Oreochromis niloticus: one gene and its partner. The protein of the gene in region 2 purifies or fractionates together with the protein of the main gene of each other region. This does not show direct contact. Links are inferred from orthologs where the notes say so. Each region holds a gene or a part of one and is shown on either strand. Other genes may lie near its edges.

The links.
Region 1: the proteins of ppp3ccb (region 2) and rcan1b purify together in Homo sapiens (affinity purification with mass spectrometry; 3 studies listed by BioGRID and IntAct, counting the BioPlex papers as one, with this or other methods). This does not show direct contact. The link is inferred for Oreochromis niloticus from reciprocal best matches to the Homo sapiens genes PPP3CC and RCAN1.

Annotation. Positions count from the first base shown.
Region 1 is NC_031986.2:3,816,261-3,832,897, reverse strand, and holds the start of rcan1b (calcipressin-1), read right to left. Parts: upstream 6,804-16,637; 5' UTR 6,642-6,803; intron 6,475-6,641; 5' UTR 6,464-6,474; coding exon 6,338-6,463; intron 1-6,337. Other genes in the region: chloride intracellular channel protein 6, read left to right, coding at 9,780-12,179. UniProt on the Homo sapiens protein: Inhibits calcineurin-dependent transcriptional responses by binding to the catalytic domain of calcineurin A. Could play a role during central nervous system development.
Region 2 is NC_031972.2:37,314,914-37,331,666, forward strand, and holds the start of ppp3ccb (protein phosphatase 3, catalytic subunit, gamma isozyme, b), read left to right. Parts: upstream 1-8,710; 5' UTR 8,711-9,244; coding exon 9,245-9,296; intron 9,297-14,010; coding exon 14,011-14,208; intron 14,209-14,471; coding exon 14,472-14,596; intron 14,597-16,753. UniProt on the Homo sapiens protein: Calcium-dependent, calmodulin-stimulated protein phosphatase which plays an essential role in the transduction of intracellular Ca(2+)-mediated signals. Dephosphorylates and activates transcription factor NFATC1.

The DNA of each region.
Region 1 (16,637 bases), on a different chromosome or scaffold from region 2:
AGCAATCAGGGACCAGTTGATCAAATCCATAATTCTCTTTTAGGTTTTAGAGAACAGACTGTGAGAGAGTGTTCCAGGGAAAAGTAATACAAAAAACACCAGACTAGACAAGGACACAAGAGGCTAAGCAGGGAAGCTAAGGGAGAGGAGAGGAGGAGGAAAAGTGTGACCGCCTTCACTGAGAGCCAAACGAGAAACTGGCTAGACTATTTATGTTTTGGGTGTTTCTGCATTCATTTTTGTATCTAATAGGTGAAACGTGTGCTCCATTGGGTTGAGCTTCTTGTCTTTGAAGAATACCCTAATTCTTTAGGTGGGGTGGTAGCGCAGATCACCTACTAATCGGAAGGTTGATGGTTCGATCACCGTGTGCTGAAGTCTGCATGCCAAATATCCTCGGGCAAGATACTAACCCTGAGTAGCTATGTGATGCAGTGTGAACGCACATGAATGTTAGATAAGAAGCACTTACAGACAAAGAGCATAGAAACCCGTGACTGAGGCAAGTTGTGTAAAGCGCTGTTTAAGAACCAGTGCATCTTACCATGACTTTACCTTGAGAACCTTTAGGGCTGCTTTTGCAGTATTTTTTGATCTTCCATGTATTTTGTCACATTTCTCTTGTTCCTGGTGAACTCCACAATGGGATTAGGGTGTCGCTCCCCTCCCTGTTCAGCCTGACACAGTATACACCACAGTAAAAGCAAAACTACAAAAGCAGCCTAGGTAGTGTTTGCCCTAGAAACATTTTCAAATCCATTTAATGCTGGCATGTGTTTAAACAGACATTATTAAAACATTTGCATGTACATACATATTAGCTGCCTAGCTTAAGCTTTTCTAAGGAATATGGACCGTGGAATGCACTTCATACTTGCTCACTACTGACTTCCTGGCTTTAAATATATTATCTCCCCCTTGCTGGTAATGTAATTATTGCATGCAGTAATGCAACTTCTGCATGCATGTCTATTTCACGTTTTGGAGAGGCAAAGCATGAAATGTAGAGAATATTGAGCTTTGAAAGAGTGAATGACTTCTTTACATTACATTAACAACAGCATGATGGAAAGAGGGCAGGTCCAGTAAAATAAAGCAGACGAGCTGACCAAAGTACAGGCTCAGCAGTAGGGCGGCACGATTTTGCATAAAATGAGAATCACGATTTTTTTGCTTAGAATTGAGATCACGATTCTCTCACGATTTTCTTTTCCAATATAAATATTTATTCCACTTATTAACTGCACATCAACTTTGTAACAGTTGAGACTGAACATAAAAACAATAAATGTCTCACATTTTGTCGTTGCCGCAAAATGTTGTGCTGCTTGAAATTCCGTCTCCACCGTTGCTCGACACTGCGTGTATAGAGCAGGTAGTGCAACAATAGAAAAATAGTTGCGGGACGGCACTGTGTAGCGTTTGTCTAGGGTGTTGATCATTTTCCTAAATCCCTCGTTTTGCACAGTGTTGATGGGAGCCATATCTTTGGTCAGGTGATAAGTGATAGCCTCCGTAATTTCTTTGTGCCTGCGGGAGTTCGACGGGTATAGTGTTACCGCACCAGATCCGCGGCTCCGAACCGTAGTAAGGAAACCTCTGGCAGTTACTTGAAGGTTTCGTGACTGGCTCGTAGCTGGCAACTAGCTTACTGTACAGGTCAACTCCGCTAGTAAAAAGATCGAAGGAGGCGTAGGAAAACTTCTTCTCCAAGGCACGAAGGTTCCCGTTATTGATGTTTGGGTGGTTGACCAGGACGGATTTTCTCCTGTCACTTTCTCGTGTTCTCCGTTGTTTTTCCTGCCAATTTGAGCATCACACGGCACAGCTTCTGTATCACGTGGTATAAGGCTCCGCCCTTGTCATTTGTTGAGCAGGAAGAGTGAGCGCTTGTTTTCATGCAGATTACGTCCCGGATCAAAATGCGGTACAATCGTCGTCGTCGTCTTTTTTTTTTTTTCTTTTTTTTTTTAAAATCGTTGTGATTTGGAAACGAGATCGCACATAAGTATGAATCGAGATCGCGATTTTCTAACGATTAATCGTGCAGCCCTACTCAGCAGCACTTTCAGATTAGCATCTATAAGAATGTCTGAATAGAATAAGTTTAATCAGCGCTATATCAAATTTCAGTGCTATATAAAGCATATATAAAGTCCTATATAAGAAGCCATTTCATTAAAAATGGCTAGAACGCTTAAAACTCCTAAAACCTAACTGAATAAGCTCAGATTAGGTGCCTGTTGGAAGTATTTTCCCACTTTGTAGTGATCAGTGTTGAGGTCATAACCAAGGCCAAGTGGGACTACCAGGACAAAGTCCACAGGAGTCCACTTACCGCTCTTCTGACCCCAAGCAATTATGACTATGCTGTATCACTGACCTGGTTTTTCTTTTATTAGTCAGTGTTCAGTCTGTCACATCTCTCCCAGACAAGCTAAACACCCTCTATGCTCACTCCAACACAGTTTCATGTCCTCTAGTGGGGAGTGAGGCTGCCACAATGGCCTTCAAAAAGGTCAACCTATATAAAGCTCCAGGACCAGAAAGCTAGGGCTGCTCAATTAATCGAATTTTAATCTCGATTACGATCTGGGTTTTCAATGATCATTAAAAATGACTGAGCCGATTATTAGCACCTCCCTCGTGCTTTACTCTCGCGCTGCTCCGTGTGGCAAATCGAGCGCACCTCTCTGCGTTTCGAACACGCGTCACAACAATAAAGAGGACCCGAGGGAAGCTCGGAAAGCTAAGCAGAAGTTATTTGGAGAGGAGAGGATAATGGCTGCTGAAGAAAGAATGCCGTTGGTTGAAAAGAGGTAAAACGACTTCAGTGGTGTGGGAACCAATGTTCCCTCTAAGCTGCGCATCTGTGCAGTTGCGCACTGCTGGCACGGTCTCTGCGCACAGAAAATCTGCGTTGCGCACAAAAAAAAATCTAACCTGAATTGAAATTAAAATTAAAACTTTAACAATTCTGTTTTGCAGTGTTAGTCAGTGACTGGCTGCTCCTGTATGGGATTAGAACGATGCCACCTTATCCTATAGTCCAGCCAATAATGCGATTCACATTCGTATATACGCAGCCAATCAACGTCGCTGACAGGCTATGACAGCGTCCTTATGTGCCGACACCGGTGTTTTAGCTAGCAAAGCGGCGTGGCTGATGTGCAGTGAAGCCACGTTAATGACAACGTGTCCAACCATTGGAGATGTGAGCAGGACAGACGGAACAACTGACGGACAAAGTGTGGACTTTATACCAGTTTTTAAATTGTGTTGATCTGCTCAAACTATATGCATTAGTAAGTAATCCTGAGAAAAGAGAGAAAAAAAAAAGAAAAAAAAAGAAGAGAAAAAAGAAAAAAAAATTGTGTTGATCGGCCACGTAAAACCAGAGTTATGATAAAAATATCTGCAATGTTTGGTTTTCTTCCTGAATACTGTCGTTGTTTATATTTACTGCGGGAAGAAACGGTAAAAACTGCGTTTTATAAGGAAAACGCTCGAAAGCCTGTGAGCAAAAACAACACCAAAACACCCCCACCCTTTCCTATTGGTCGAAAAAAGTACCGTGTCGACCAATCAAAAAATGATATGGCAACGTGGCATCTAGTTGTTAAGAAACGGGGGGAAGTTTTAGGAGTGAGGGCGGTGTTCTGAGATGTGAGAGATTTGAGACGTTTAGCATAAATCTTGTGTAGTTAGTGTGTAGTTAGTGTGTAGTTAGTGTGTAGTGTAGTCAATAGTTTTGTTGTGTGTGTCAGAACAATGAGGCGGCTGCTGAGTGTTACAGGTGTTACAGCAGTGATACATCTCCTGTTGTCAGGCCTGCAGGTATCAGGCTGTTGTTCTCCTTTATCTCATAGTGGACAGAAATTATTTTTTGGAGTGGCACAAATAATTTGTGTGGCATCAGATTTGATGCAGAACAGCTGATTGTTCTGTAAATAGTTTGAAATGTTTATTTAAAAACGTCTTGGCTGCATTAAAAAAAAAAAATAGCTGCAAAAAACTTTGTTGTTTGCCAAACTGAGTTACTTTTTTGAAGTAGTAACTATATAATTAATTGCCCAACATTGGTCATTATATGCTGTATTTTGCAGACAGAGTTACAGACTCTCTCCCAGACCACAGACTCATAATACAAGTCAGAGCTTTATGGAAAAAAAAAGAAAAGAAAGAAAGTTGTGTTTTCAAAATTGGAGTTCAAGTTATTTTTACTTCCAATAGTGTTAACATCCTACACGGGTCATGAACAGGATTTTTTACATTTTCATTGTAAGTGGGCTAAAGCAGTTTAAAAGTAGTCTAACATAAATGTAAATGCTGTAATTTGATTATTTTAATAAACCATGTAACTTGGATGGATTAGATGCTGGCGTGACCACAGTGCACACGTCTGATGTCGCTCACAGTGGTCCAAGGGACGCTCAGGGAGTTTGTGTGTTCGCTCAGACACATGAAATATTTGAGGGAACATTGGTGGAAACATTATGGGTTCGCGGAGTCAGACGTGGATCAAATATTGTGCAGTATTTTGAAGTTCACTAAACATAGATGTTTACATTTTTCATTTATTTTTTATATTGCAAACATTTGCACTGTAATCAGTATTTGCACACTATTTTACATTATTTTTTGACAATCTTTAAAGCCATTATTCAATACATTGTTATTGTTAAATAAATATCGTCAAATAATCGAGATCTCAATTTCAGTGAAAATAATCGTGATTATCATTTTTGCCATAATCGAGCAGCCCTACAGAAAGCATTCCTGGTCATGCTCTCAGAGCACGTGTGACCAGCTGGCAAATGTGTTCGCCAATATCTTCAACATCTCCCTTCAAGGCGTCCACCATTATTCCCATCGCCAAGAAACAAGTGGTCTGTCTAAATGACTACTGCCCTGTTGCACTAACATCAGTCATCACAACGTCAGCAGATGGTTAGACTACACATCCAGTCTACCTCCCTTACACGCTGGTCCAATTTGCCTACAGAAGAAACCGAGCCACAGATGTTGCCATTGCTTTGGCCACACACACTGCCCTGCCCACCTGGAAAAAGGGAACATATATGTGTGAATGCCCTTAGCTGACTACAGCTCAGCATTCAACATGATAGTCAGAGTTGGAAAACACACTAACTCCTCGCTCATCACAAACACAGTACAGTACAGATGTAGCACAGATGATATGACCACCACGGGCGACAATGACACAGTCTACAGAGTGGATGTGAAGGGACCGAACAACTGGTGCTAGGACAACAACCTCTCTCGCAACATCAGTGAAACAAAGGAGGCGATAGTGGACTACAGGAAACAACAAAAACAAGTTGACCTTGGTGGCTGTTAGATGAGCATCAAACATCCAAAGAGAAGTTTTTGATGTTTGTCTTGTTACTCAACTGAGTCTCTCACCAACTGCTGCACATTGCTGCACCCAGCATCCACAGGAGAAACTGCTCCCAAAGGTGAAAGTGAAGTAACTGCACAAATTATTAGTATCACACAGTCCTGGCTTCACCAGCACAAATCTGTTTTTCCATACAGCACATGTCCACTGGGACTGAATACCCCCTGCCTCCCTCAGAATGATTCTGCTGGTTTTATTTTCATTATGGCCATCAAATATTAATGCAGTAACATTTCTGATTTACAGGATGGGGAGTCCATGGAAATGCTCACTGATTTGGGATTTGCCTTGGTGACAGAACCACCTCTTAACCTGCTCACCTCCTTCCCCCAAGAAGCTGCAGGAAATGTAGGAGACCATCCATGACGTCTTTCATTTTAGCCATGTTCCCCTGTGTGACATCAATGAACACTCTGACTTTTCGGTTTAATCCAGGAGCATTTTGGGTCTGAACCCAACTGGACCTTCTTTTCTGACTAAAGCTAGCAAACAGACTACAAACCCGAGGACTCCAAGGTCCCAGAGACGTTTTCCAGCACAATCAGTTTAGGGGCGTGACTATAGCCGTCACTAGTCTTTAATGGAGCTAATTAACTGATTTTCATGTATCGATGATAGTAATCCATCTGCCACCAGATGGAGTGATGAAACCACATAAACCTGTGGCTCTCCTGCACACACATCTTTCTCCTTTAAGGCTACTGTGCTCCATAGATTCAAGTTTATCTCCTAGGTAACCGTGTGTGTTTCTTTCTGTCATACTATCAGATAATTCCATATTTTGCTTTAAAAACAAAGAACTGTCTCTAATGAACTACACTACACAAAAGCACCAAAGCTATTGGTTCATGTTTCACGTTCATATATGATGTAAACACTGTTTAGCCGCACACAGGCCAGTGCCTGACAGCTTACCTTAAGCCTTTCCTCGTTGAATAAATCCTCCGCCACTTTGCAGGCCACCAGGGCGTCCGGTAAATCCGTGAACTGAACATCTACCGGGGCCGCCTCCTCCTCGCCGCCATTATCCGCCTGCTGCATCACCCAAATATCTGGAAACATCGACAGCCTTCCGTCAGTACCGACACATGCTGATTGCTGCCTGACTCTACACCTATCAGTGCTTTGATATGCCGCGTGCCTAACCCAGGACATGAAGCTATTTTTCGTGGTTAAAACATATTATTATGACAAAGGCGTCGCTGCGCTGTTTACCCACCGGTGTTAGCAGCGATGTCCTTTCTGTGTGTGCCTTCAGGCAGCCGCTGGCTCCTCACTGTGCTCTCAAACCCGAACTACTGTCTGATATCAGCTGTACTTCCAGCTACCTGCAGCTACACGGAACAGCGGAAGCATTTCCGGGTTTTCTTTTTCGCCGGGCCTTCGCGGCAGTCTACATCCTTTCCCGGTGCGTTACTGCCCTCTCACGTTATTTAGCGGTCCGATGACTTACCTCCACACTCAGTCACATGTTGGTTCCCTATAGTCATCTCATCTGTTTTTTCCTGTTATCACTCTGTTCATGGACCCTGTTTCTCGCCTGCTCGCCTTTGTATTACATGTAAAAGTCGAACTTTTATATCATCATGCCAAACCTTTTGCTATTTCTTTATTAATTCCTGCTACCCTTCAGACTTCCCTCCATCACTTGTTTCCTTTATTAACAGATGTCTTTGTTTACCCTTCTCATTGTCTTACTGCATGATGTTTTTACCTTTAACTGATGACTGAAAGAGTTTCACAAACAAAACTCAGCTGGTTCTTGACTGTCTGCTTATATCTTAATGAGTGACTTGCTTTTTGTTACACCATCTCTTCAAGTTCATCTACAATCAAAATGAACTGCCAAAAATCCAAAGCTTTATACTCTTTCTTGGCTAACTTCGTATACAGACCCTTTCCAAAAAATTAGAATATCATGGAAAAGTTTATTTATTTCCATAATTCCATTCAAAACGTTAAACTTTCTTAGATTATAGATTCAGGGCCCACAACTTAAACGATTTCATGTACTTAGTTTTTTATTTGTACATAATTTGGGCTTCCAGCTCATAAAACCCTCAAAAATAGGATTTCAAAAAACTAGAATACTGTCAAGACATCACCATTTAGTTCTCAGTTTTTGCAGGAAAAAAGAAGAAGAAAGAAATTAGGATCACATCAAGTCAATCAAAATGTGGTACTTTCAAAATGATATGTCAATCTTCAATACTTGGTTGGGAATCCCTTCGCGTTAGTCACTGCTTCGATGCGCTGTGGCATTGAGGCAATCAGCCTGTGGCACTGCCTGGGAGTTATGGAAGCCCAGATTTCCTTGATACTTGCTGTCAGCTCTTCATTGTTTTTGGGTCTGGTGGACCTCATTTTCCTCTTGATACCCTATAGATTCTCAATGGGGTTTAGGTTCGCCAAGTTGGCTGGCCAGTCAAGCCCTGTGATGGCATGGCCATCAAACCAGGTTTTGGTGCTTCTGGCGGTATGGGCAGGGGCCAGGTCCTGCTGAAAGATGAAATCTGCATCTCCATACAGATCCTCAGCAGAAGGAATCATGAAGCCCTCCAAAACATTCTGGTAGACTGTTGCGGTGACCTTGGATTTAAGAAAGCAGAGTTTACCAACACCTGCACTGGACATTGCACCCCAAATCATGACTGACTGTGGATATTTCACACTGGACCTCAAGCAGCTTGGGTTCTGTTCCTCACCCATCTTCCTCCAAACACTTGGACCTTGATTCCCGAATGAAAAGCACACTTTACTTTCATCGGAAAAGAGGACCTTTGACCACTGGTCAACAGTCCAGTCCATCTTCTCCTTGGCCCAATGGAGTTGCTTCCGACGTTGGCTCAGGCTCAGAAGTGGTTTTGAAGCTGTGACTCCTGCCTCATCCCACTCTTTCTGGATATCTGCCAGATTTTTGAATCTTCTGTCTGGTAATCCGCTGAAGGCCACAGTCATCTCTTCTGCTGGTGCATCTTCTCCTGCCACATTTTGCCCTTCCACTAGACTTTCCATTGATATGCTTGGACACATCACTCTGTGAACAGCCAGCCTCCCTAGCTATGAACTTTTGTGGCTTACCCATCCTATGGAGGGTACCAATGATGCTCTTCAGGCCAGTTGTCAAGTCTGCAGTCTTGCCCATATTGAACTTAACAGAGACAATTGAACCAAACTGAAGCAATTTAATGACACCTGGGAAAACCTGTGCAGGTGCTTTGAGTTTAGTAGATGAGTTGTGTGTGACACTCAGTTTAAAACATTCATGCCCTGTAAAATTTGAGCTGATGTCTTGACAGTATTCTAATTTTTTGAAATCCTGTTTTTGTAGGTTTTATAAGCTGGAAACCCAAATTATGTACTTAAATAAACAACTAAATACTTGAAATCGTTTAAGTTGTGGGCCCTGAATCTATAATGTATGATAGTTTAACGTTTTGAATGGAATTATGGAAATAAATAAACTTTTCTGTGATATTCAAATTTTTTGGAAAGGGTCTGTATATCTTTAGGCCTCTTAGTTCTCTAACCTTCTTACTCAAAAAGAACACACTTTTTCTTATATTTGTTTCAGCTGAATTAAAACAAAAACATTTTTCTGTTTCACATGTCTGTGAAGCTTCTCAGTCGTCCAGGTCGTCGTAGTCTAAGGAGCTTGGAAAGAAAAGTGTCTGGACTTATTCAAGTTTCCTTGATATCTTAATATCATCTATTAAAGATACTAAGAAGAAAAATCACTGATAGTATGACAAAATGAACACAGCATTTAAACACATTCATGTAGTAAACTGGGCTGAGAGTGCTTCAGTAAAATAGTTCTGGTGAACCTGCACTGTACAAATAAAACAGAAGTTTATTAGATGTTGTATATATGGCTTTGTCTATCTACTAGAGGCTATGTTTCATAGATGTAGCTGTGATGTGTCGTTGAATGTGTTAAGAAACTCCAGATCAAATGGTACTGGTCTCTGGGTGGCAGAGTTTAAGCTTGTGATCATGTGGGATCAGCCTTGGTTTAATCCCTTAGAGTGAGAGAGAAAGAGAGAGAGAAGAAAGCGAGGAGGCGAAACGTACTTATTGATGTGGAACGGTGCCTAAGGCACAGTACTGATGAGAGAGCCCTATAACCATCTTTCAGGGGAAATCTGGATTTTTCTCCTTACTTTACTTTGGAAATTTGGAACCTCGGGATACAAGCTTAAAACTGGGACTGTAAGTTTTACTCTTCATCCCCATCTTTGAACTTTTCTAGAACGCCGGATCATTTTCACAAATTTTACATGTTATAAAGCTGCACATTTATCCTGGAAACTTGGACACCATCATTTCTTTCTAAATAAGTTGTGTTATTTTCCTAATGGCTCAATTAAGTTATAGCCAAAATCCAGACCTGCCAAATGGAGCCATTGTCCACAGCCCACAAGGTTTGTGTTCAGACCTGGATACACACAGAATCAAAGACGACACAGAAGAAGAAGAAGATGATGATGATGAGGTGGAACTAGCAGAGGAGGTTGGGGAAGATGTTTTGATGGTTGCTGAAGCAGAACAAATTGAAGATGAAAGTAAAGAAGAGAATGATTGGCAGAAAGGAGAGATTACACAAGTGACCCTGTTATCAGATGGAGAAATAGGAGAGGGGGAGGATGAATGTGAAGTACTGGAAGAAGAGGGGAATGGAGAAATGGGAGCGGGAGATGGACATCAAGAAATAACAGCCACACTGACAACAGACAAAGAATCTGAAGATACAAAGATGGCTGAAAATCTATCTCTTTCTCCTCTATTGGTTGTGGTTGAACGAGGGAAACAGCAAATATTAAACAGCAATGGAGATGATGAAAAGGATGGGGAAACTGAAGAAAACAAACAAGGGGGAGTAACAGCAAGTGCAGGAACAGATGTAAGGCAGGAAGACATGGACGAAGGCACCGACGATCATGTGTCCTGTCTTCAGGACAGAGGTACTTCTGTGTGGGAGTCAGGAGTGGGTACAAAGTCATGTACTGGTGACCAAGACGAAACAGAAACTGCTACTTTGCCCACTGCTGGCAACATAACAGAGGTTAATCTGAACATAGAAGTGGCTCCTTTTTCTACTGGGATAAATGAACAGGCCAGCATCCAAGCTTCAGCTCTTGGCACTGATGACATACCAGTCGATAGAATTGCTACAGCTGAAGAGGTGGCCAATCAAACCTACCAATTAGATGTTGAGAGTCAAAATGAAATAAAAAACAATGATGGAGAAGATCCCTCAGAATCCATAAAACAGGAGGTTGTTATTGATAATCTTACATGGCAATGCCAGGGAGTCCTGGAGGGTGTATATCCTGGCTATGAGTTCCCCGTGAGAGCAGGAACCAATCAAACGGCACAAGAACCAGAGCTGATGGCCCTAACTTCTGAAGAACAGCCACAGTCAGATGGAGACACTAAAGCAAAAAGGACTGAAGACGTCACCCAGAAGGAGCAAGCAGAAGAGCAAGGTAACAACTTGGCAGAGATGGACGGGGGAGGAAAGAGTTCAGAAATGGAGGAGACGATAGCCAGTAATGTTGCTGGAGAGTTAATGGGCCAAGAAGAGCACAGAACAAGAAATGATCTAGAAATGCAAGAAGAAAAAGCTGCTAAGCTTGAAATCGAAGCTATAACAGTTCCTCCAGAACCAGTGGGCCAGACTGGAGAAGAGGTACATACAGACACACAGGACCAGGTGGAGGAAGCTTCTCTATCTGAGAAAGGCATCAAGGTGAAGCTTGACGGGTCTGAAGGAGAGGACAAATCAGAGAAAAATGAATCCACAACAGAAGGGGGAAGTGCTTTACAAGAGCATCCTTTGCAGCTCTTGAAAGAAGCAGACACAATTTGGAGAAACAACACAAAAGAACTCCCACAGACAGAGATGCTTGTAGAATTTGAGACTGGAGGAAGAGCAGTAGAAGAGTCAATGGAAGGAGAAGTGGAGATGGCAGAAGAGCCAGTCACCGTTCTAGATGATGAGACTGAAATGATGGAGGAGACGCCCAGTAAAAAAACGGAAGAAGTACATCCTTTCACCATTATGAGCGGTTCTGATGATGCCATAGACAAGATAAAAGATGAAGAGCATCAAGTGCTGCCAGGAGACAAGGCCATACTGGGTAAAGAGGACATGGAGACACAGGACGTCAAGCTAAAAGTGCACAACAGTGAGGCAGAGGCACATCTAAATGGGAGCATTAAAACACTGAAGCAAACAATGGAGAACGGGTTCTTGTGTCCTGAGCCACAAGGTCTTAGGAAAGATGAACTGGGGAAAGCAAAAGTGCTGTCACCCAGGAGAAAAGATAGAGACTGGATTAAAATAGATCAACCAGAAGAAGAGAAGACTGCTACTGAAAGGAAGGACTGGAGTAAAGAGCTGAGGCACATCAAAAAAGAGTTTTGGGAGAACGAGCGGGGAAGGAAAGAATGGGTGGATAAAGAAACGTCAGCAGAAAAGATCAGTTCACCGAGGAAGGAGGATTGGATAAAAGAGCTGAAGTCAGTTATCAAAGATGAATCCCTGCCCAAAAAGAAAGACGAGCAGGTGAAGAAAAAGAGAGTGGTGCTGCTGGAACATGGTTGCTCATATGTCCCTCAGCGAGAGGCGATGACTGCAGAGACGATGGAAGAGATCAAGTTGACCTCCGACAGGAGAGTGGACAGTCCTGTGGTCCCTGTGGACAGTAAAACACTGGAGAACCAGCCCTATGAAATCTCCCTGTATGTCAAGGTAATCACTTTATGCACACACGACACTGCATGTCTATAACTCTTCCATGCTTCCTTTGGTGGTAACAGACTGTGATGAATGCCAGACGGATAGTTATTACTATTATCATAGTGGGGATTTACAAAGAGCATGTTTGTCATAATGAATAATGAATTAGGCTCTATGGAGGAGTTCATGATACAGCAAAGTGAAAGTGCACAGAGCAGAAAATAAGCAGAGAAAATAAAGTTCTTCTGAGAACAGGGAGGACTTTAGTACAAGAGAAAATCTGAAAATTAAGAATACACAAAAGAATTAGGAATGTGGGGAACAAGAAACACAGATAAAACTAATAAAGACAATGATAAAACGTTATGAAATGTTAGCTTCATATATCAAAGACTTTTTGTTTTCTTTAGAGGCCCATCCAGCTCACCATCAGGCCTCCGTCTGTGCACAGTGAACTCTGAGTCAGTGTTTGAACGTGATACAAACCTGAAGATGACTTCTTTAACATCAAGATCAGAGTCCTGGCTCCATAAAATATGACAAAAAAACTTCAAGCTGTCCTGACTTAGAAAATCATTTTGACAAATATGAGACCTATGTTATAAAAATATATTATTTGATTGTTTTTTAAATTATTGTAAAATATTCGATGCTTCTAAATACTTGTGTAAAAAACAAGTATGTGAAAAATTCCACACTCTTTGTAAGTCTTCCAGAATCTGCAACAGTAAATACCTCAGTCATAAAGAATATGCATTTATCTTATTATTTGTTATTATTATGTTTTTGGTAAGCAATTTTATAAGCTACTAAACCATCAGTGAAATTAGCATAATTATAGCTTTTAATAATTTTCCATGTTACACCATTATTACCATTTATGCTGTGAAAACTTCCTTAATTACACAACATATCAGTTAATTAACAAACAAATCTACACAGAGACCAAACGTCCTTTATTGTTAATATTTCACTGCCTCATATGTTATGAATGCATTTGTCGTATTAAGTAGAATTTATGCTTAGATGTGTTTTTACAATCTTTTTATGTGGTACAAAAAGGATCCTGACTTTTCCATGGTATTTTACTTTAGCATTAAACATACTAATTCACTGTCAGTGTAATTTATTGAAATTTCATGTACTTCAAAAAATACAGTCAATTTGTGTACCCCAATCCAATTTTATTTTTAAAGCATTTTAAAATAGCCAGCACACGATCAAAGTGCTGTACAGGAAATTAGTTAAGAACAATTTAATAAAATAAAACACATAATACTTAAAACAGCCTTATATTTTTTTAAAAACCCAACAACATAAAACAACATAGAATTAACTAAATAAAATAAAATAAAATAAAATAAAATAAACCAACATTGGAGCTGCTACAGCATAAGCACAATCAGGAGCAGCTGATCAGCTGACCTGAGAGAGCGGGTGGGTGTATAAGGCTGTAGCAGCTCAGAGAGATAAGATGGGGCGAGACCATGGAGAGCTTTAAAAGCAAATAAAAGAATTTTAAAATGAATCCTAAAAGAAATGGGCAGCCAGTGAAGTGAAGCTAAAATAGGGGAAATGTGGTCAAACTTTAGACGAGCTGCGGCATTTTGCATCCTCTGTAGATGACTTCACATCACAGTCCACTTTGACCCCCAGGTTTGTGACAGCTGGCTCATTATACTGGGCCAAGGTATCTAAATACACACTGGGAGTCTCAGTGGGGCTACCAAACACCATCACCTCAGTCTGTTTATCACTGAATTTTAAAAAGTTAAGAAACATCCAAGCCTTAATGTTATCGAGTAGTAATGGCTGTGTGGAATATGAGCCTTTGTTCTGTAGAGGGACATAGATCTGACAGTCAGCAGCATAAAAGTGGAAAGCAATGCCGTGCTTTCTCAGTACAGAACCAAGAGGAAGCAGATATAAAGAGAAGAGGAGGGGGCCTAGAACTGAGCACAAACAAACACAACACTGGCAGTGACAGACGGCACACACACACCGGCGCCATCTTGGTCAAATCCAGACCAATGTTTGCAGTGCAGCAGAGAGGGTAACAGAGACCATGAAGGCTGTGACAGCAGCTCAGGTGATACCTGCTCAGTAAAGTGTGTGGAGATGTCACTGGTGTCTATAACTTGTTACTCACATGTAGTGTCACTGGTGCCTGAAACTTTGAGGCTGTAGCAGCTTCATCAGTATGTTAAACAAACTCTGACTGTTCCAGAACAGCTGAATTAGTTCAATAAGCTGAGTGCTCAACTTTGTGTGAGTACGCAACAAGGTTATTATCGTTAACTAAAACTAACGAAATAACGAAAACTAGAAGTGAAAAAACATTTTCGTTAACGGAAATAAAAATAAAAACAAAAAAAGGAAAACTAACTAAAACTGTAATGAGTGTTCACAAAACTAACTAAAATTAACTGGATTTATAGCGAAAATGCGTTTAGTTTTCGTTGATATGTGCGTGTCATACAATAGTCAAGGGTGAAAATGAAGTTTAGTTTCCAGGTTTTTTTCTTGCCAGCAGGTGGCAGTACGTTAGTCGAGTCGTCTGTGTTGCTGCTCCGTCCACGCGCAGAATCATGTCAGGAAAAGTCTGGAGAAAGCACCAGCTTCCAATTTGGGATTACTTTGAATATGACTGTGTTTTGGATAAAGCAAGTGTCTTGTAGTGGAAAGAGACAAATTATGAGGGACATTTCTAAAGGGAAAAAAATCCCACAAACCTTAAAGTGCACTTGAAAAGCTCACACAAGAAGGCTAACCTAGCTTACCTGGAGAAGGTAAGGGAGCACGCCCAACCCTCATCCCCAGAAACAGAAGCTAACCCCAGGCAAGGCAGCGTGATGCATCCCGAGACAACAGGACTGGGATATCTACATAACTGTGTGAGTCAATTGCCTTAACACCCGGTGCTGCAAGAGTTAATAGTCTCATTGGGGCCAAGATATACATTTTATAGTTGCCTGGTATCAACGGTTGTTCGTCTGCCTTTATTTATTTATTTAAAGAACCCATAGGTGGCAACGTGAGTTGTCTGTCTCTGCGTGTTAGTCCTGCGACAGTCAGGCGACCTGTCCAGGGTGCAGGGTATGGTAGCTGGAATAGCAACATACCCAAGGATAAGCAGAAGAGCATGACTGATATGATGAAACTGGGATTTTGTTACACTTAATTATTGCAAACACAACTAAAACTATAACTGAAACTAATCAAAACTAAACTGAAACTAAGGATTTTCAAAAAAATAAAAACTAAACTAAACTAGCAAACAATTGGTAAAAACTAATTAAAACTGATATAAAATTGAAAATCTGAAGTCAAAACTAAATAAAAATAAAAACTAATGAAAATTGCAAAACTATTAAAACCCTGATACGCAAAGAGAGCCATGACCGGTGGAGCTCCACCACATTTCACCATAGGAAGAGGAGTGACTCCACGTTAATACAGCATGCTGAATTAAATAAAAACTCTTTGAATAATTAAAAAAAGTCATATTTCTATATATAGAATAAGATTATTTCTAGTTGTACTGGATAAAAATGTGTAATAAATGTAGAGGAAAAAGTGCTTAAATGTTCCCCATTTCTAAGCTCTTCTAATATTCAGCCTTCACTGATAGATGGTGGCGTGTGACTGCTAGTGCTCAGAGTTCACTGAAAACTTTCCAAGTCTTCAGTTTTATCAGTAAATGTGCTGTAAGAAATGTCTCTGCTTTTACAGAGTTTAAATATTTCAATATAGTTTTGGGAGATCGAGCCTGTTCTTGGCCCAGCACATTGCACACACACTGTTTCAGTATTCACAGTGTTTGTTCACACAGTTGCCTGTTCAGGCCAGTGTTGCCCAGTCAGCCGTCAGCTGCCAGCTCATCTCCCTTCTCCTCCAGGTCCCAGCATCCATGTCTAGATGATGGCTTGCTGTCACACTGGGCAGATCTAGACAGGATGACCTGGGAAATGACCAGAGCCAAACTGAATCTGGTCTTGATCTGGTCTGAATTTGTGACCCATCCATGCCATGCAAGTGGAATCTGATTTAGATGAATTTCAGTGGATTTCCATGTTCAGACTCTGAATTTCAGACACAGAAACCTTCAAAATGTTCTTTGATATCATGATTTACGATGAAACCTCAATCTGTGAACACATTTCAACATGAGAACCTAGCATCACGAGAGTTAGAAGGATGCAGACTACATAGATTTTATTCTGAGCTGGCTGTTTTATTGTAGGGTTGTTATCTTACTATATAAAATGCCTGGAAGCAACTGAACTCAGGGGATGATGAATCCATGATATAACTGCTGATGACTGCACACAAAATAGAAAACTAATATCTAATTGGAATTTTTGTAAAAATGTAAAATATGAGTTTGGCAGAAATGTATGAAAAAGCACGGATGTCTGTCAGCTGGTTCACGCACACTCAGACAAACTTGTTAGCTAAGCTTGCTTCCTG
Region 2 (16,753 bases):
GGGTGAGAGGTCAAAGGTCACCGTACAGAGACAGCTCATGAAAAGTTTCTGCTGTCAACACAAAAGAAAAGTAAACATTTTGGGGAAAAAAAACATTTTACATTTTATTTCATTGAATTTTTTTTCCTTACATGAAATTTTGCGTTACGAATTTTCGAGAACAAGACACATAATAAATAAATGAACTTTTTTACTTTCTTTCTCTCTGTTTTCAGGGATTTTATTCACTCTGCTCCTCCTCTGTCATGAGCTGACAGATTCTTAAGTTTTCAGCTTTTTGAAAAACTCTGATCTGATGTTTTAACGTCTCTCAGATACCAACGATGCAGACAAACCTAAAACTTTTTATTAAAGGGAAGCAGCTGATTTTTGTGCTCTAACCGAGTTACAGAGTCACATGTGAGCTTCAGTCTGCAGGAATAAGACAGAAAACAACTTAATTACTGAGCTGACGCTGCCGATTTATCCATGAATTCTTGTGACTGTTGCAGATTCCTGCAGACCGGAGCTGAGGCCATCGACGCCTGTACCTGGCACCAGTGAGTTCACCCTCACTTTATTTACTCTGAACTGTAATTTCTGAGTTAAGTCTACTCTCACAAGATAATGCATGAAGCGATATTCATGCAGTCACAAGAGACGTGCAACCAAACAGCCTGAAAGCTTCTCCATCTATCAGAGGAAATTAAAAGTTTATGCACGCCTACTGACAGTGAGATACTTTTCCCATGCTTTTATTGTGAAAGTGCAAGTGTTCATACCAATCAGAGACTGTTCAGAACAAATTATTCAGCCGTTGTAACACAAATCCTGTTGCAAGGAAACAGAATGTCAAAGTTATTAAAACTTTCTAATATTTTTAGTCCAACTGACATTCAGTAGATATAAAGTGTCTGTACACTCCCAGGCAACAAGGCCCAAGACAACAAAACCAACATAAATCTGTCTCCAAATGTTTGTCTGAAGTCTCCTAATTTTGAATTTATTAAACCATAAATTCAGGAAATAGTTTTGGACTTATTAAGTTAAAAGTTGGTCATAAAGCATCAACACTTTCTTCAGAAAGTCCAAAATTCTGATTCATAATCAGACAAAAAGAAATTTAAGTGAAGATAAGATTATTATTTATCATCCACACTGACAGTTAGTTTGGGCTTAACAATGCTCACATCATCCACAAACAGCTGAGCACTGGTTGAGACCAGCAGTGGTCCTAAACTCGAGCTCTGAGGACCACCTGATTTAATTTTAAAGGAGCTCAAGTGACACCTCGGCCTGAAACACTGTTCTTTTACTCCTAAGCCTTCATGCTGGTTTATTGTTGTGAATGCTTCATTCATAACTCATAAAATAAACTTGTTCTGCTGTTTGTCAGTTATTACGTGAACGGCAGAGACACGTCTGTGAAAGACTTCCTGGATCCTGAAGTCCTGGACTCACTGGCCTTAAAGACCAATGAAGTTGTGAAGGTAATGCTGTGCTGTGTGCCAGCAGCTCTGTGCTGGGTGTGTTCGCAGTTTCACCGGGTTTGTTTCTTCTCATCTGGCTCAGAAAGTGAAGCTGGCGTCTCCGGGGAAGTCTGTGTGGCTCGGAGAGACAAGCTCGGCGTACGGAGGAGGAGCTGCAGGACTGTCGGACACGTTCGTCGCAGGATTCATGTGAGTCCCTCAGGTCTGCCCTGCTTTAGTCTTCTCTCTGAACATTATGAACGTCATGTTGTATTCAGTCAGACCTGAAACAGAAAGCCATCATGAAGGCATTCAGGCTCAGAAGCCATTTCCTCATAGTCTTCTAGACCTCTGGACCTCGTTGGTGTTTTTCAGACTGATTTTACGATTTTTAATCTGCTGAATGTGTTTTTCTGTGGAGGAACATTGCTGCTCTCATTATCTCTGAAAGACTCTCAAATATCTCTGAGTCGCTGCTGAGCTGTCTCCATGCTGGGAATCTGTGCAGGTGGCTGGATAAATTAGGCCTGGGAGCAGCACTTGGCCTGGATGTCGTGATGAGGCAGGTGCTCATTGGCTCTGGGAGTTACCACCTGGTGGACGACAACCTGGATCCTCTTCCTGTAAGACAGAGTCAGGTTGATTCTCTCAAATATACCAGCTACGCTTTCATGTTTTTTACATGTGCAAAATCATTTTAAGAGTTCCTCCTTCCTACACTCAGATTAGATGTTATTGCTTAATTTTGTCCACTTTGGGACATCAAATGAATTAAAAACATAAACGGACATGTTTAGAACAGGCTCAGTGAGTTCATTAGCTGATCATTTGTCAGAAAATGTATGTTAATCTGTTCAAATCAGGACCTTCACACTCATACTGAGCGTTAACGTGGCTAAAATAAGCTGCTGTTAGTTTATGTGCTCGATGCATTTCATGATCTTCACAGTTTGTCGTTGTCGAGTAAAGGCCGTGTCCTCTTTCAGGATTATTGGCTGTCCGTTCTCTACAAGAGGCTGGTTGGACCGGAGGTTTTAAAGATTCAAGTGTTTTCTGAGTTTGGCCGAAGTAAACGAGTGAGGATGTATCTGCACTGCGCCAACAGGAAGAGGTATGCTTCACATCCTGCCCTCATACAAACACCGAGACCTCCCACCACCAGTAACTCTGCCATCCAGACATCAGGTGGACAGGATTTTCCTCGGCCCGTCCAGTTGCTTATACAGCTGTATAAACAGCTGTTTATCAGCTGTTTATACAGCTGTCTCTGCAGTGGTCTGAAATAGCTAGAAATAGCTAGCTCGAGGTAATGATGTAGTAAAGTATTAGCAGTTAGAAGTAACAGATAAATGGTTAACATCTGCTACAGCTTCCTTCAAGCAATGTCCTGTACAACAAAATAGTTTCACGGAGCTGCTCAGAAAAAGGATTTTTGATTTCATATATTTCTTTATATTTTTACTGTGAACATCAACACCTCTGAAACTGGACTCATGACAAGAAAAGAAAAAGAAAAACTGATTTTAAAGTAAACTGCCCTCTTAAGGAATCAGCTCAGCTTTAAGGTTTATTATTCCTATAAACCAGCAAAAATGTCTGGAAACAGAAACAGAAAAAAGTTCTTAAATCTTAAAATAAGAAAAGATTGAAATTCTTAAAGTGTTAAAACTCCATCTCAAACCTGAATTATTTGTCTTTTACTTCAGCTCAGGAACAAACTTCTTCAAACTAAAAGTATTTATAGGGGGAAAAAAGCTTTTTATTTCTTACTGTGTGCACTGACACCAGGAATATTTTCCTAGAGATTTTCATGTTAACAAAACCTAATTTCTGCGCATGTTTTGCTTCGTGTGAGCAGAAACAAAGCTCATGCTTCGTTCTGTGTAGTTTGAGTTGAAGTGGAAGTCAAGCTGAGTAATAATGCTGCTGTTCTGCGTGTCTGCAGCTACAGACGAGGAGCGGTCACGCTGATGTCAATGAACCTTGGAAAGACGCCAGCGAGGATCTCGGTGCCCGCCGTCTTCTCCAACAGCACAGTGGAGGCTTTTGTCCTGGAGTCTGAGCAGCCGGGGGAGGAGGGACTCTACTCCAGGTGCCTGAACGTACTCAATGAAGCCATTTTCCTCCCAGTTAGAAATCTGCTTCGACCCCAAAGAGGACTGTTGCTTTTCACTAAATATCTCCGGCTCTGCAGAAGTGGAGTGAACCTTAGATAATAAGCCCCGCCCCCATTTTTAGTGAAATGAACACGGTGAAGAAGCAACAGGTCAGAATCTGTAAATGAACACCTGATTCTACCTGAACATCAGGATTGGCCCATTGCAGATGTTTTATGTGCTGATGATACACTGCTCTGTGTGTCAGACGGCTCAAACTCTGCAAGCCGAATAAGACACGTTCAGGTCATTATAGTCGACCTGTTCTGCCTCTCCTCACTTCCTGTCACTTCCTGTCCTGTCTCTGCTCTTCCTGTGGTGGAGGTTCACGATAAAGTTACGAATAATGAGCTCGGTGTGTGTAGTGATGCCCGCAGGCCGCTCCGAACACTCACATTATTACAGTATTTTCTACTCTTTGATCTGAATGATGTCATCTCAGGGACTGAAGCCCCGTCAACTACTGTGTGAGAGGGAGAGCCAAACAGAAGAAAACTGGCGTAAAGCCAGCCTTGTTTCAGACAAGGGCTGAGCTCTGAATCATGCAGAGCTGCTGTGCTGGAGTCAGAAAATAAAAGGATGGAGCTGATGTCTTTTCTCTTTTTAGATTTACATTTTCTGTTTTTGTTCTTATGAATCTGAGTCTCTGAAACATCTGGATCTCCTGAACTCAGTGATGGTGAAACGGTCGAAGCTTAAAAATGAAGAAGAATCCAGCAAACGTTTTGATGCTGAAGAAGCATCAGCTGATCATCCTGCCTCAGCATCCAGTGAAACCTGCAGTTTTTACCATCTGCAGGGACGCTGTCTGTGTTTCAGCTGCGATGGCTGGTAGGTGTAGAAACCTGAACACCAGCTCACATTTCTCTACAGAAGTGAGCCTCAACACTTCCTGAAAGCTACTTTTTAAATCTTTTAAAATTTCATTTTACTCATGAAAGCAAAAACGGGGGCGATAGTGAATCAGACGCTGGCTTCGGTCTTGTGACGCTCAGATTCAGGTGTTTATCGAGTCCTATAAGAGCTGCTGAGGTCGACCTTTTGATGCTGGCTTTTGATCTGTGGCTTTGCTTTGGTTCAGCGTGCCGGACAGAAAGCTGTTGTCATGGCGATTTAACGCCACCTGAGAGCGAATCAGCTGATGCAGACAGCAGCAGGTCGAGGACAGATGCTGTTGATGTGTAACTCTCTCTCAGGCTTTTATCTCAGCTGTGCTGACGGAGGACAAACAATGGCCTCATAGTTCGGGCTGAGCGGTGTGCTTCAAAAGAGTTCAAAGGTCACCGCCGTGAGTCAAAACCGGTCAGCATGAGTCGACAGTCTGACTCCAGTCCACCCCTCCACAGCACCTCAGCTGCTGGGGGTTTTCTGAGAACAGCTACATAAAAATCAAAAGCTTTACCTGATTTAACCGACCATTCCCAAACTAGCCCCATCCTAAATCCTCCTCTTATGGTGTTATGATCTGACTCATAAGCTGTGGTGGAAAATGATACATCCATAAACCCGAGGAAGGGTAACTAGGCCGATGACACCCCGCACTGCTGCAGCCAAACCAGAAGGGGGCGCACAGGAGCCTAACACCTGAAGTTCATAAACAGGATGAGTTATGCAGAAATGGGCAAAGATTAATATCTCAGTAATCTTTGTGTTTGACTCGCTGTGTGGCGGTTAGTTTGATGAGCTCATTTCCTGTTTCTGCAGGTCAGTGAAGCTGAACAGCGAGGTGTTGATGATGGTGGACGATAAAACGCTGCCTGAACTCAGAGGAAAACTTCTCCTGCCAGCTCACCACCTGCAGCTTCCTGCCTACTCGCTTGCCTTCTTCGTCCTCCCGGATGCCCAAGCTCCAGCGTGCAGTTGATGACATCACACGGAGAGCAGATCCTCCCTGGACACCAGCGTAGGCTGCTGTTTCCTCACACCGTGGACGCCTCAGTGTCTGATTTTTAGACAGTACTGTCACTTTCTGATAATGTGTTTATTGATTCTCACTCATGATCAAACATCTCCATCTGTCTCTCCACCCACTCGTCAGTCACAGAGGCCACGCCCCTAATAATGTGAGCTTTAAGGTCAATGGGGATGATGGATATGGAACAATATGGAATAAGATAATTAAATGTTTTTTATAACAATTTTCAGAAACCAAAAATATTTTTGATACGACCGTGTTTCAGGGTGTCACCTGTGAGGACGTCTCAATGATCTAATTAATTAAAAAGCACAATGCTGACGCCACCTCTTCGCCATCATCGTCGTCAGCAGGCTCGAGCACGTCCTCCTGATGCTGCAGCTTCACGTTATCATGACAGCAAATGTGTTAGAGTTTAAGCAGCGGAGACAGTGCTGTCACCATCAGGTCAGACTGGGAAGTGCAGTAGTGTCCTCCATCATCTTTATCCAGTCTGTTCATAAAAACTTCAGTAAAACTAAAAAAAGTTTTTTAAACTTTAACCAGATATATATATATATATATATATATTTTTATACCAGATATTTTACACTGAAAATATAAGTGTGTAATAGTTATATATATCTATAAATTTCAGTGTGAACTCTGCTAATTAAATCTTTATTTCATTAAATCTTTCTGTTCTCTGCTGATTTTAAACTGGACTCTGTAATAAAACTAGTGAACCGGTGCCGGACGCTCTCAGTGTGAGTGTGACGCCCTGCTCTGAGACCTTCAGCTTATTAAAGGACACCAGATTCAGAGTTTGATCTTTGAACTTTTATTTGATGCCAGATAAAGACAAACATCACATTTCCTTTTTCATTCGTCCTGCTCCTCGCTGTGAGTGATGATGTAACACAGGGATTTGTAGTCCAGGTTTCCGGTGGCGTTGATGTTTGATGACTGAAACATCTGCTTCATCTACAGACACACAGGTATCGATGTTACGCCTGTCACAAAACATTTCCAAAGTGAGCCCTTTTCATTTTTACACTTTCATTCGCTCAGTGTTTTCACTTCCTATCACGGGCTGAATAAGGAGACATTCGAGTGAGAACTCATTGGTCTTTGTGGATGAAGCCTTTGGCGTCGGGATCAAACATTTTGATGCTCGCGGCAGGTCGGTGCCTGCAGCGAACACAATGTCAGGAAATTTCCTCACAGTGAAGAGATGATCCTCCATCAGGGCTTTCACACCATTACAGGACACACAGGAAGCTCAGACGATGGAGGCCATGAAACTAAAAGCTCACTGTTATTTCATAATGAATCAGTAGAACCTTCTTTAAGAAAAAGTTCTTCAGAGCTTAATTAAAGCTGTTTGATTGCTGTGATCTAGAATATTATGAAGAACATGTGAAGAACAAAGCTGCAGGATTGTTAGAAAATGATTCTACTACAGCAGGAATCACGGTCAGAAGGAGGACCTGGTATCAAAGGAGACTTTAAGAGTTTAAACCAAATGATGAGAAAGCAGATCAAAACCTCTGCTGCACCAACGGTTTGTGGAAAAATCCTGCTGAACAGAAACCAGGTTCTGTTTAGACTGTGGCTCTACGAGTGGGAGTAAAACTGATCTGGGTTCAGTTTCTAGCAGAGCGGGAAAAGAGTTTAATGTGGAGATCTCAGTTATGAAGCCAAATCTGGAAACCAAAACTATATTATAGTAGATACACAGTAGTATAATTCTGTGCTGTATTGTAGATGGTATAGAGAAGTGTAACTTTATTATACTACTGTTTACCATCTACATCTACTGTTTACAGTGTATTAACTGTATTACACAGAGTAATCAGGTTTGCTCTGTTAGGTCTCTGAGCGTTTAGCTTCATTGATAACATTTCAAATTGTGAAATGATTTTATTTTCAGTTTCAGGCCAAAAAACTCATCAAACACTGTGATGAAACTGACGTGACTTCCAGCCCTGGACAGACTGAGAGCTATTCACAGCTCTGTGTAATAATTCAATAAGACATGTTTTATTTATCCCAGCGTCCCAGCGTGAAGCATCCAGAGCTCAGTTTTTAAAACCAGTGAACCGGTGCCGGACGCTCTCAATGTGAGTGTGAAGCTCAGGATCACCTGAGACGTCCTGCTCTGAGACCTTCCGCTCATTAAAGGACGTCACCTGCAGTGACCACACGGAGGCGCTGTGGTGTTTGGCTTCAGCTCTGTGCTGCGCAAAATCCATCCAGCACGTGACGTCAGAAAACCAGCTGGTCTCTTCATCATCATCGTGAGGAAAATAAGACCGTGCTGCAGAGCAGGTGCCGAACTTAATTTTAAAAATCCAACAATTTTAAATGTTTTTATCCAACAACAGGTGACAGTGAAGCACACGTGGCTCTTTGTGACGTATTTCAGATCAGCTGAGTGTGCTATCATATTTAGCGTGTAACGGGATGTAATGCCCAGCACTTTTAAGTATTACTGTGAGTGCGTTTAAAACAGACACTTCTTTGTTTCTCGCTTTATTTTATTGAAATGAGAATGAAAACTTTAAACTTTGAAAACGAAGTTTAGAATAAACACCAAGAAACATAGAAAACTTTCAGAAAACCATTCTTTAGAGTTCACCGTTTGTTAAAGACTAATATTACCTTTGTCACAATGAAACGGGGCTTTTTAAGGATGATATTTTTCTTCGTAAACAGTGTATTTTAAATGTAATTAAACATTTTTTCAAGACAGTGTCAGAGAAACTTACTCCTTATTTTATTTTACGCTTATTTTAATGATTTTTTTCCTTTTTTTCATTTGTTTATTTTTTAATTTTATCCCAAAGACATTGCATTTTAATTTATTTTGCCCCACAGACATTGTTTATTTAATATTATTTTTGACTCTAACTTTTTTATTTTCCGTAGTGTGTTTATTATTTAATTATATTTCTTATATTTTTCTGTAGGGTGTATTTTTTATTAATATATTTGTAATTTTTAATTCGTATTTTTATTAGAGATTATTATTATTATTTTCCGTACATTGTGTATTTTTTTATTTATTTATTTATTCACACCGTAGACCGCAGTGTTTTTACTTATTTTTATTTTTGCAGTTATTTTCCATTGACAGTGCGGTGCACGCGCTGAGCGGGCTCTGAAGGAGACGCATTCATACCGCTTTAATACTACATTACCCACAACCCCCCGCCCGCGCAGAGCCATGTTGTAGGAAATCCGCTTGCGGCGGATTATTGTAATCCGACAGAGGGTCTGGGCGACACATCGGATCACGACAGGAAAAAACTGAAGCGCAGCGGCCTGGAACAGATGCACCTCGTCCGAGAATAACGGGATAAAGCCGAGACATGATCCGCCGCGCTGCTCGGTGCTGCTGAAGCCAGAGATCGGCGCTGCTGCCCGGGCCGCTTCCTGCCTGGACCGCGGGTCGGCATCACCGCACCGCAGAGAGGAGTAGGGCAGAGCGGAGAGGCTCCGGTTTGTCGGTGAAACGGACGCCCTCGCTCCCTCTTCCCTACCCCGGTCAGGTCTGACTCCAGCTCGGCTCGGCTCGGTTGCTCTGTACGCGGAGGGACGCGCTGCCGCCGCCGCTCCCAGCCACACCACCAGCTAGCGCGGCTAGCTCGCTCCAGCTAGCCTGCTAGCTCGTCAGGAAGAATCGGTCCAGTTTAGTTCGGAATTTCTCCTGTTTTCCGGCCCGCAGCCCGCAGGGAGGGAGCATGTCGGCCAAAGACCAGAGCAAACTCTCCACCACGGAGCGGCCCGTCAAAGGTACGTGACTGTCCGGCTTTACAGGGGGTTCCCGGGGCAGGAAGTTAACGGGTGTCGGTGCTAATGGCTTCGCTAAATGTGAGCAGCTGGATGTCAGAGCCGCAGTTAGCGGTGACTTCTCCCCGAGCTGCCCGCTTTAACGCCTCTTCCATCAGGCAGGGGGAAACAGGCAGTCCGGCCAATCAATCAGCCCGCTAATCGATGCCGCGGCAGCTAATAACTTAGCCTTTTAGCTTAGCAGCCCGGAGCTCCAGATGTTGGGTGTGCGGTATGACAGCCCGCCGTCAAGCCGCGCTCGATGCTTAGGTTCACGCGGAAAGTCCACACGACGCCCCGGACACCTGGATCCTGTCCGCGGGTATACACCGCCCCGTGTACGGCAGGTAGCTGGCCTCGTGTGGGTGCAGGGGGTGAATAAACTGGCCTCGTCAACCCCCCGCCCCCAGTCTGCCCCGCTGTGTGTGTTTATGGAAAATTAGTTTGAAATTGAGGTTTGTGTGGAGTACTCAGCCACGTCCTGCTGCTGCGGTTTTTCCTCTGCGGTGTTCAGAGCTCTCAGAGAGGCAGCAGCTGGTGCTTCACCGCTCTGCAGAACAAACACCCCCGAGACCAGCCCGTCCGAGCCCGGAGGCAGTCTCCTGCTCAGCATCACAGGCTCTCCGAACCCCAGCACACACACCCCACATTTAATTTCACAAATTATTATTTAGTTATGCTATAATTGTGGAGATTTCACAGTGTATAACCACATTATTATCATTATTATTATTATTGATATTATTGTTATCATCATCATTATTATCAACCAGGAAAAAACATTAATAATATTAAAATGGTCGTTGATAGAGTCTGGCTTTACTTCTGCTTTTATTTTATTTTTGGAGTTTTTGATGCCACCTTAAAAAGGTGTTATTGCCCACTTTAGCCATCAATGAAATTATCCTGTTAGATTTAAACAGAACTTTCCATCTGCAGAAGGCCCATGAGTCTGAGAGACACCGCTCCTCACCAACATCTACTGTGTTATAAGACCTGCTTATTACACATTAGATGAATAAAATTATTAAGTTCAATGTCGTTATCATTTCTTCATGATGAAACAGGAAGTAATGAAGCTATTAGGAGTCGTGTCTCCAAACGGGCGGTGTTGGGTTGTGAACTCTGGTTCCTGTTGAATCACTGAAGCCTAAAATAACTTCCTGCTTCTCCGAGCATCAATGAATTTGAGAGTTTTTAGCGAGTTTTAGACTCGACTGTTAGGCCGGCTAATGTATGCTGATTGATCAGGAGCACTGCACAGATGGGCCATCGCTGGAGCCCATTTTGGTGGTTGCTGGAGAATAAAACAGCTTTCTCTCTGAGTCGCTGTGGTGTCGGGTGAAGCAGCAGGTGGGGTCATGTTTGATATGCTCACCGGGTTTGAGAAGCTTAGGAGGGCCACTGGTCATTACACAGACCTCCTTAACGCCGGTGCCGCCGCTCAGGAAGCCGGCACAGCCGGCTCTGATTGGATTTACCTGCTCAGAATCACCTTTGATTGTTTATCTGGGAACACCAACACAACAACTCTTCCAGGAATTCCTGGATGGATTTCCAGATCCACTCCAAGAGTTTATCAGTTAGTTTTTGACAAGCCCAGAACCTTATCCTTCTGATAAGCAGCCCTGAGCACTCAGCCTCACTGTTGGTTTTTCTCTGATGACGACCTGGTTGCTGTTTGGTTTGGGAATGGTCAGAGAGAACAGCTCCTACTTGGATTCTGGGAATTTTCTTTGGGATATTTCCACGTGTTGTTTGCAGCCCTGAATCAGCTCGATTGAATTATGTAATTACTTCAGGCTGAGCAGCGTGCTGCTGATGGCTGGAGTTCATCACAGCAGCCCACTCTGCAGCTTCCTGTTGAACCCTGTGTGTGTTTGTGTGCGCACGCACGTGCATGTGTGTTCTGGCCTTTTGGCTTAGTTACCGATGGTAATCGAATCAGTCGGGCCGTCTGCCTCGCTCGGCATGTGTAATGATTCTGTCCTCATTCATGATTGATGGAGCCGGGCCGGAGGATGCAGCAGGATTGCTCTGCTGTCCTGGCCCCTGTGATGGAGCTCCACCCTGGACCCCGTCCACTCCACCCACAAAGAATCGGGTCAGCACAGTCTCCAAAGCCTGTAATCTTGTGGTTATTCTATCCAACAAAAAAGGAAGGAAAATGCTGATCTGTTAAGGTGGTATGAGATTTTTTGGGGTGGGCCCAAGTACGGAGCGCCGTCCGGTGCCTGTCCCGCTCAGGGGTACACGCCGACCCTCACCCTGCACGTTCGGGTGTTGTGTAATCAAAAGGGTGCACATCTGCAGCACTTTAAGGGTCACATGATGTTAGACAGGTATTTACGGTGTGATTCGAGCTCAGTATGAGTCTTTACGTTAGTTTCTCCTTTCGCTGCTCTTAGCCTTGCTGTGGGTGCACCTCCTCACACGCAGAGTGGAGCAGAGGGAGGATGGGAAGGAGGCGGTAACCATCCAGGTGATGACAGAGCTGCTCCTCAGGTGTGACGCAGAAGCTAACAGGCGATAGTGTTTGACCTCGGTTTGTGGTAGATGCTTGAAGTCTGCAGAGGTGTTCAAGTATGAACTCGAGGCAAGACTGAAAGTAACACACACGGCAGGTTATTAACAGTAATGTGAAGCTGGCAGCCCGACCTGCTATAACTTGTGTGGATGAGTCAGTTTGGGTTATTCTGCTGTTGGGGGTTCATTCCTGAGCAGTTCCTTTTCTCTGTCGGTCACGTTAACGTTGCTCGTTATCGATGGCTGCGTCGGCTGCAGGAAGCTGTGAGTGCATATATATTCAAACAAGATGAAAATGAGCTCCTTATCTAACGAGTTCTCATTCTCGTCTGTGCAGATGTTTGCACGGCGGACTTAATGTGAGGCTCAGACTGAAGCCTTAGCTGTGATGGTTTGGCCTCAGACCAGTCCATAGACACCACTGACACACCCCACCCCACCCCACCCCACCCCACCCCCATAAAGAGGGGGGGGGGAGGGGGTCTTCCATGTTTGGCATGTGGGCTTCAGTCCTTGGGTTCTGTCGTTGCCCCTGCTTGTGTATAAGTAAAGTTTGTTTGCACTCGGGTCTGATTCTGTGTGTCCTGCTGGTGTTTGCTCGCTAGCGGCACAGACAGAAACAAGCGGCCGTCTGTGCTGGGCCGGCTTGCTGCTTTGCTTATGTTTGACTGGCGGGTAGCCGCGTGGCTTCAACAGCAAACAAAGCGCGGGCCGGCGGCGGCTGAGTTTACTAAACGTCTGAGCAGTTTCACTCTTCCTGTGTCCCTCCTGCTGATGGTTATTTGAATACCACTTCCTGCAGCGGTCGGCAACGCCTCCTTTTCACAATCGTGGTTTTGTTTTTCTCTCTCTCTCTTCACACACTCCACTCTCACTTCTGAGTTGTCAGGCAGATAAATTTGTCTGGTGGGGACTCGCAGCTGCTTTTACTTCGATGAACCAGTTCACAAGGAGCTGCGACGTGATTGGCTGAACACGTGCGGCCTGGTTTGGTTTCAGAGCTGCGTGCTGAACTAGAGCGCCGTGCCAGGAGTGAGTGTTCAGGAATATTCAGTGTCTGCGTGATTGCTCCCGTCTTCTTAGAACTTCCTCTCGATGCAGAGCTCGCATCACCATGTTTATGTCACCGCAGCAGTCAGGTGACCAAACAGCCTCTGACCTCACAGCAGGTGAAGCGGGCGGTCGGAGCCGGTGTGGCGGGGAAAGGTGATAAAAACACAAAATACGTGTTTGTGACGAATCACAGCGCACACTGACCCGCCTCTCTGACCGCACCGTCACTGAGTTCATGTAGACAGACAGGTGATTCCAGGTCATAAATGTATCACATGACCTGGACCGTGCAGGTGAGAGCAGACAGTCATGTCATGTGTCCTTCTCCTCCTGCTTTTATGTATTTTTCATCTTTAACTGTGATTCTGATTTCTGCTGCAGTGCAGCTGCTCGGGCTCAGCTGCTTAATAACAGCTGTTACAGCTGCGGTTTTACAGCGTTGGTCCAAACACCTTTAACCGCGTCATCACAGTGAAGGAAGGTTAGTAACCGTGAGTGTAGAAGCTCGGCCCTGCCTGCTGGACTCTGTGAGCAGCGACGGGTTTTCTTGAAATAAGCTGCTTGGTATTTCCTGCAGGGCTGGGCCGTGCCGCCACACTCTGCTGCTTTGTGTTCAGGACGAGCCTCGACACGCCGAGGACACCTTGCCGACACTGATCTGCCTGTGGGCCTGCGTGGTTGGCTCTGAGGTGTGACCTGATTACGGTTGGATTTGAAGTCAGTGGGCTTGCTCTCTGTGAACAAAGCCGCTGGTACCCGGGTGATCTCAGGTGTGCTGCAGAGGCACGTCGTGACCTCGCTGATGATAAGAGCATTCCTAACGAGGCGTTATCTGAGCATGGGAATGTTACAGCACAAAAACAGCCAGAAAACACCCGAACAGCAGACCAACCTTTATTAAAGATTACAGCAAGCGATCACCTTTCAGCAGGACAGGAATACGAAACAGTTCAATATCATTAAATATCATCATTAAAAAGTAACAATTCTGTCCCTGAACGCAGCATGGAGCCCATTTAAAGTAAAGGGTGAATGTTTTGTCTGTTCTGTATGAGGTCACAGTGTAACCGTGTCCCTTCTCTCTTTCATCTCTCTGCAGCTGTGCCGTATCCTCCTGGAGACCGCCTGACGGTCAAAGAGCTGTACGTGGACGGGAGGCCCAGTTTGGAGGTGCTCAAGGCCCATCTGGTAAAGGAAGGTCGGCTGGAGGAGGAGTCGGCCCTGCGAATCATCAACGAGGGTGCCGCCATCCTCCGGCAGGAGAAATGCATGCTTGAGGTGGAAGCCCCCATCACAGGTAAACCCTCGCCTTGACCCCGCCCACTCGGTATGTCAGCGACGTGCAGAGACATTTAAAGATGTCAGCTGAGAATTTATCGCCAGCATGTTTTCCTCTTTGTTAGTGATGAAAGAACACTGTCTGCTACCGCTAATGTTACAGCTCCATGCTTTGGACTGGAGCTTTGCATGAGTGACAGCTCATAATCATCCTCCTCTCAGCTCAGCCTGTGTCTGAAAGCAGGTGTGGTAATGCTGAGCTTGTTGTGTTTGTATGTGCAGTGTGCGGAGACGTCCACGGTCAGTTCTTCGACCTGATGAAGCTCTTCGAGGTGGGTGGGTCCCCCAGCACCACCCGTTACCTGTTCCTCGGGGACTACGTAGACCGAGGCTACTTCAGCATCGAGGTGCGTGTCTGTAACTTCCTCGGCACAGGAAAGAATTGTCGTTTGTGCTTCTTTGTTGCCTTTTTATACTTTTTGTGCTCTTGATTTGTGTCTCTTTTTCATTATTTTTTGTTTTTTTGGGTCACTTTGTATGTCTTCGGGTTGTTTTCTTCTTTTTTTGCTCTTGTTTTCTGTCTTTCTGTAGTTTTTGTGCTTGTCTTGAATCTTTTTTGGGTTGTTTTGTGGGTAACAGTTGGCAGTTGGGGGCTTTCTCTTGTTTATTTGTTGGCTCCTGCGTCCTTATACCCATCCAGGTTTGCTGTGCGTCGTCAGCCTTGCGTGTTGTAGGAGTGTGCACGGAGCTCGGAGTAGTCTTGTTTATTGTGTTGGAGTTGTCAGGATGTGTTGGTGCAGAAATCCTGGCGTGACATTTGGAGACTCGGCCCGCGCGGCTCTGCAGGGCATCTTTAAATAGTCATGGGTAATAAAAGGCACACTGTTTGCCCCCTCGCCGCCCTGACTGCCACACCCACTCATCCACACAAACACACCCTGCTAGACACACACACTTACACAAACACACACACTCAAACTCCAGCTGCGCCCCATCAGAGGGAGGACCGGGCGTCTTCTGGCATGGAGCTGCTGGCATTTGTATGGCTGCCGTCGTGCTTCCTTGTTTGGGATTAGTGGACATCCTGGAGCTGCTCCTCCTCCTCCTCCTCGGCTCTGTCTGGACCTCAGAGACGCCATGTGTCATCATCCTGTTTCAAAGTCACACTCAGTTTGCAACAGCAGATGCTTGGCTGAACTCTGTTAGTTTAGAGGTCATTTGTCTTCATAAAGACTCGTTTTCCAGACGACTCAACAGCCGCAGACCGAACGGCGTGCTGCGTGTCCCGACTCTGAGTCACGGCTGAATCAGCTGATTGCTCTGATGTCTTTTGTGTTTTTTGACCTTTTCAGACATTTAATTGGGCAGAAAAAGCCTCTCAGAAGTTTTAACTGTAGCTCAAATCTGAGTGTTTAGTCATACCACATGATCATGGCAGCACCACAGGCTTCAGTTCCTGTGACGTCCAGCACGGGCAGCAGTGAGTCGGTCTCTGTGTTAAAACGTTGCAGCACAAATAAACATGTTTGCAGAGTGATGCACAAACTGTTTGCTCGCTGGAGAAAAGACAGTTTTGCAGATTATCCATAAACTCAGAGGAATCTCATTTACTGCTAAAAATCTTCACTTTTTAGCCACAAACCAGAAAATCTTGAGGATAATTCCTCAATTTTTAAAATTAATTTAATCAGTTTGAGGTCGTCTCCTGTCTCTTTGAGGTTGTCTTGTTTGACTTCGTCTTGCTGTTTTCCTGCTGTTCTCTCCAGTCTCATGTTTAAAAGGCTGAATGGTGAAGCGTGCCGCTGCTCTTTTACTAACAAAGGGAACACGAGCGTAAAGTCACCCATGTCTGACACAAGCCGTGGCTTTACCAGCGCCATGAAGTTACATAATCCAGTGTAGAAAGGACAGCGTGCACGCAGCCCGACTCCAGCGCTCGTTATTCTTCTCGTCTTCCTCTGAGCTCGGCTCAGTTGAACAGCTCGACGCCTTCAGAGCAGAAAAAACATTAAATTGAAACAGGTGGTGCACAAAAACACAGGAGGAGTGAGTGGCAGCTGAAAGGATCCGTGGGTTTGTTTGGAGGTTGAGGATGACGTCCGTCAGCTGCCGGTTTACCGCATGTCGGTGCTTCAGCAGCTCTTTCCCTGATGGAGATGAAGGTTTCTCCATGATGCTCGTATTCCCTCTGCACCGAGAGTTTCTGCTCGAGGACTGTCGGCCCCAGCCTGTAGCGATCAATAATGGCATCGACTAATCCCCCATAATTAATGAATCTGTCAGAGTCGGTAAACAGCGGCGGATCATCCCGCAGCGTCGGGCTGCTGTTAGTCATCTCACAGCCGTCCTGCAGACCTGTGTCTCCGCCGGCCTCCGCCTTCAGTCATGGCGGTGAACCGGGAATGATAATCCAACGTTATCATCCTGATTATTATGTCACATTTAGCGTAAACCTTTTATGTTTGCGGTTTATTTTCACCATGATGCTCTTGCCTCTCCCCACCTTAAAAGCTCACATCACTCACAACAACAGCTGGACCGTTTAACTGAAGGAGAATTTGGAC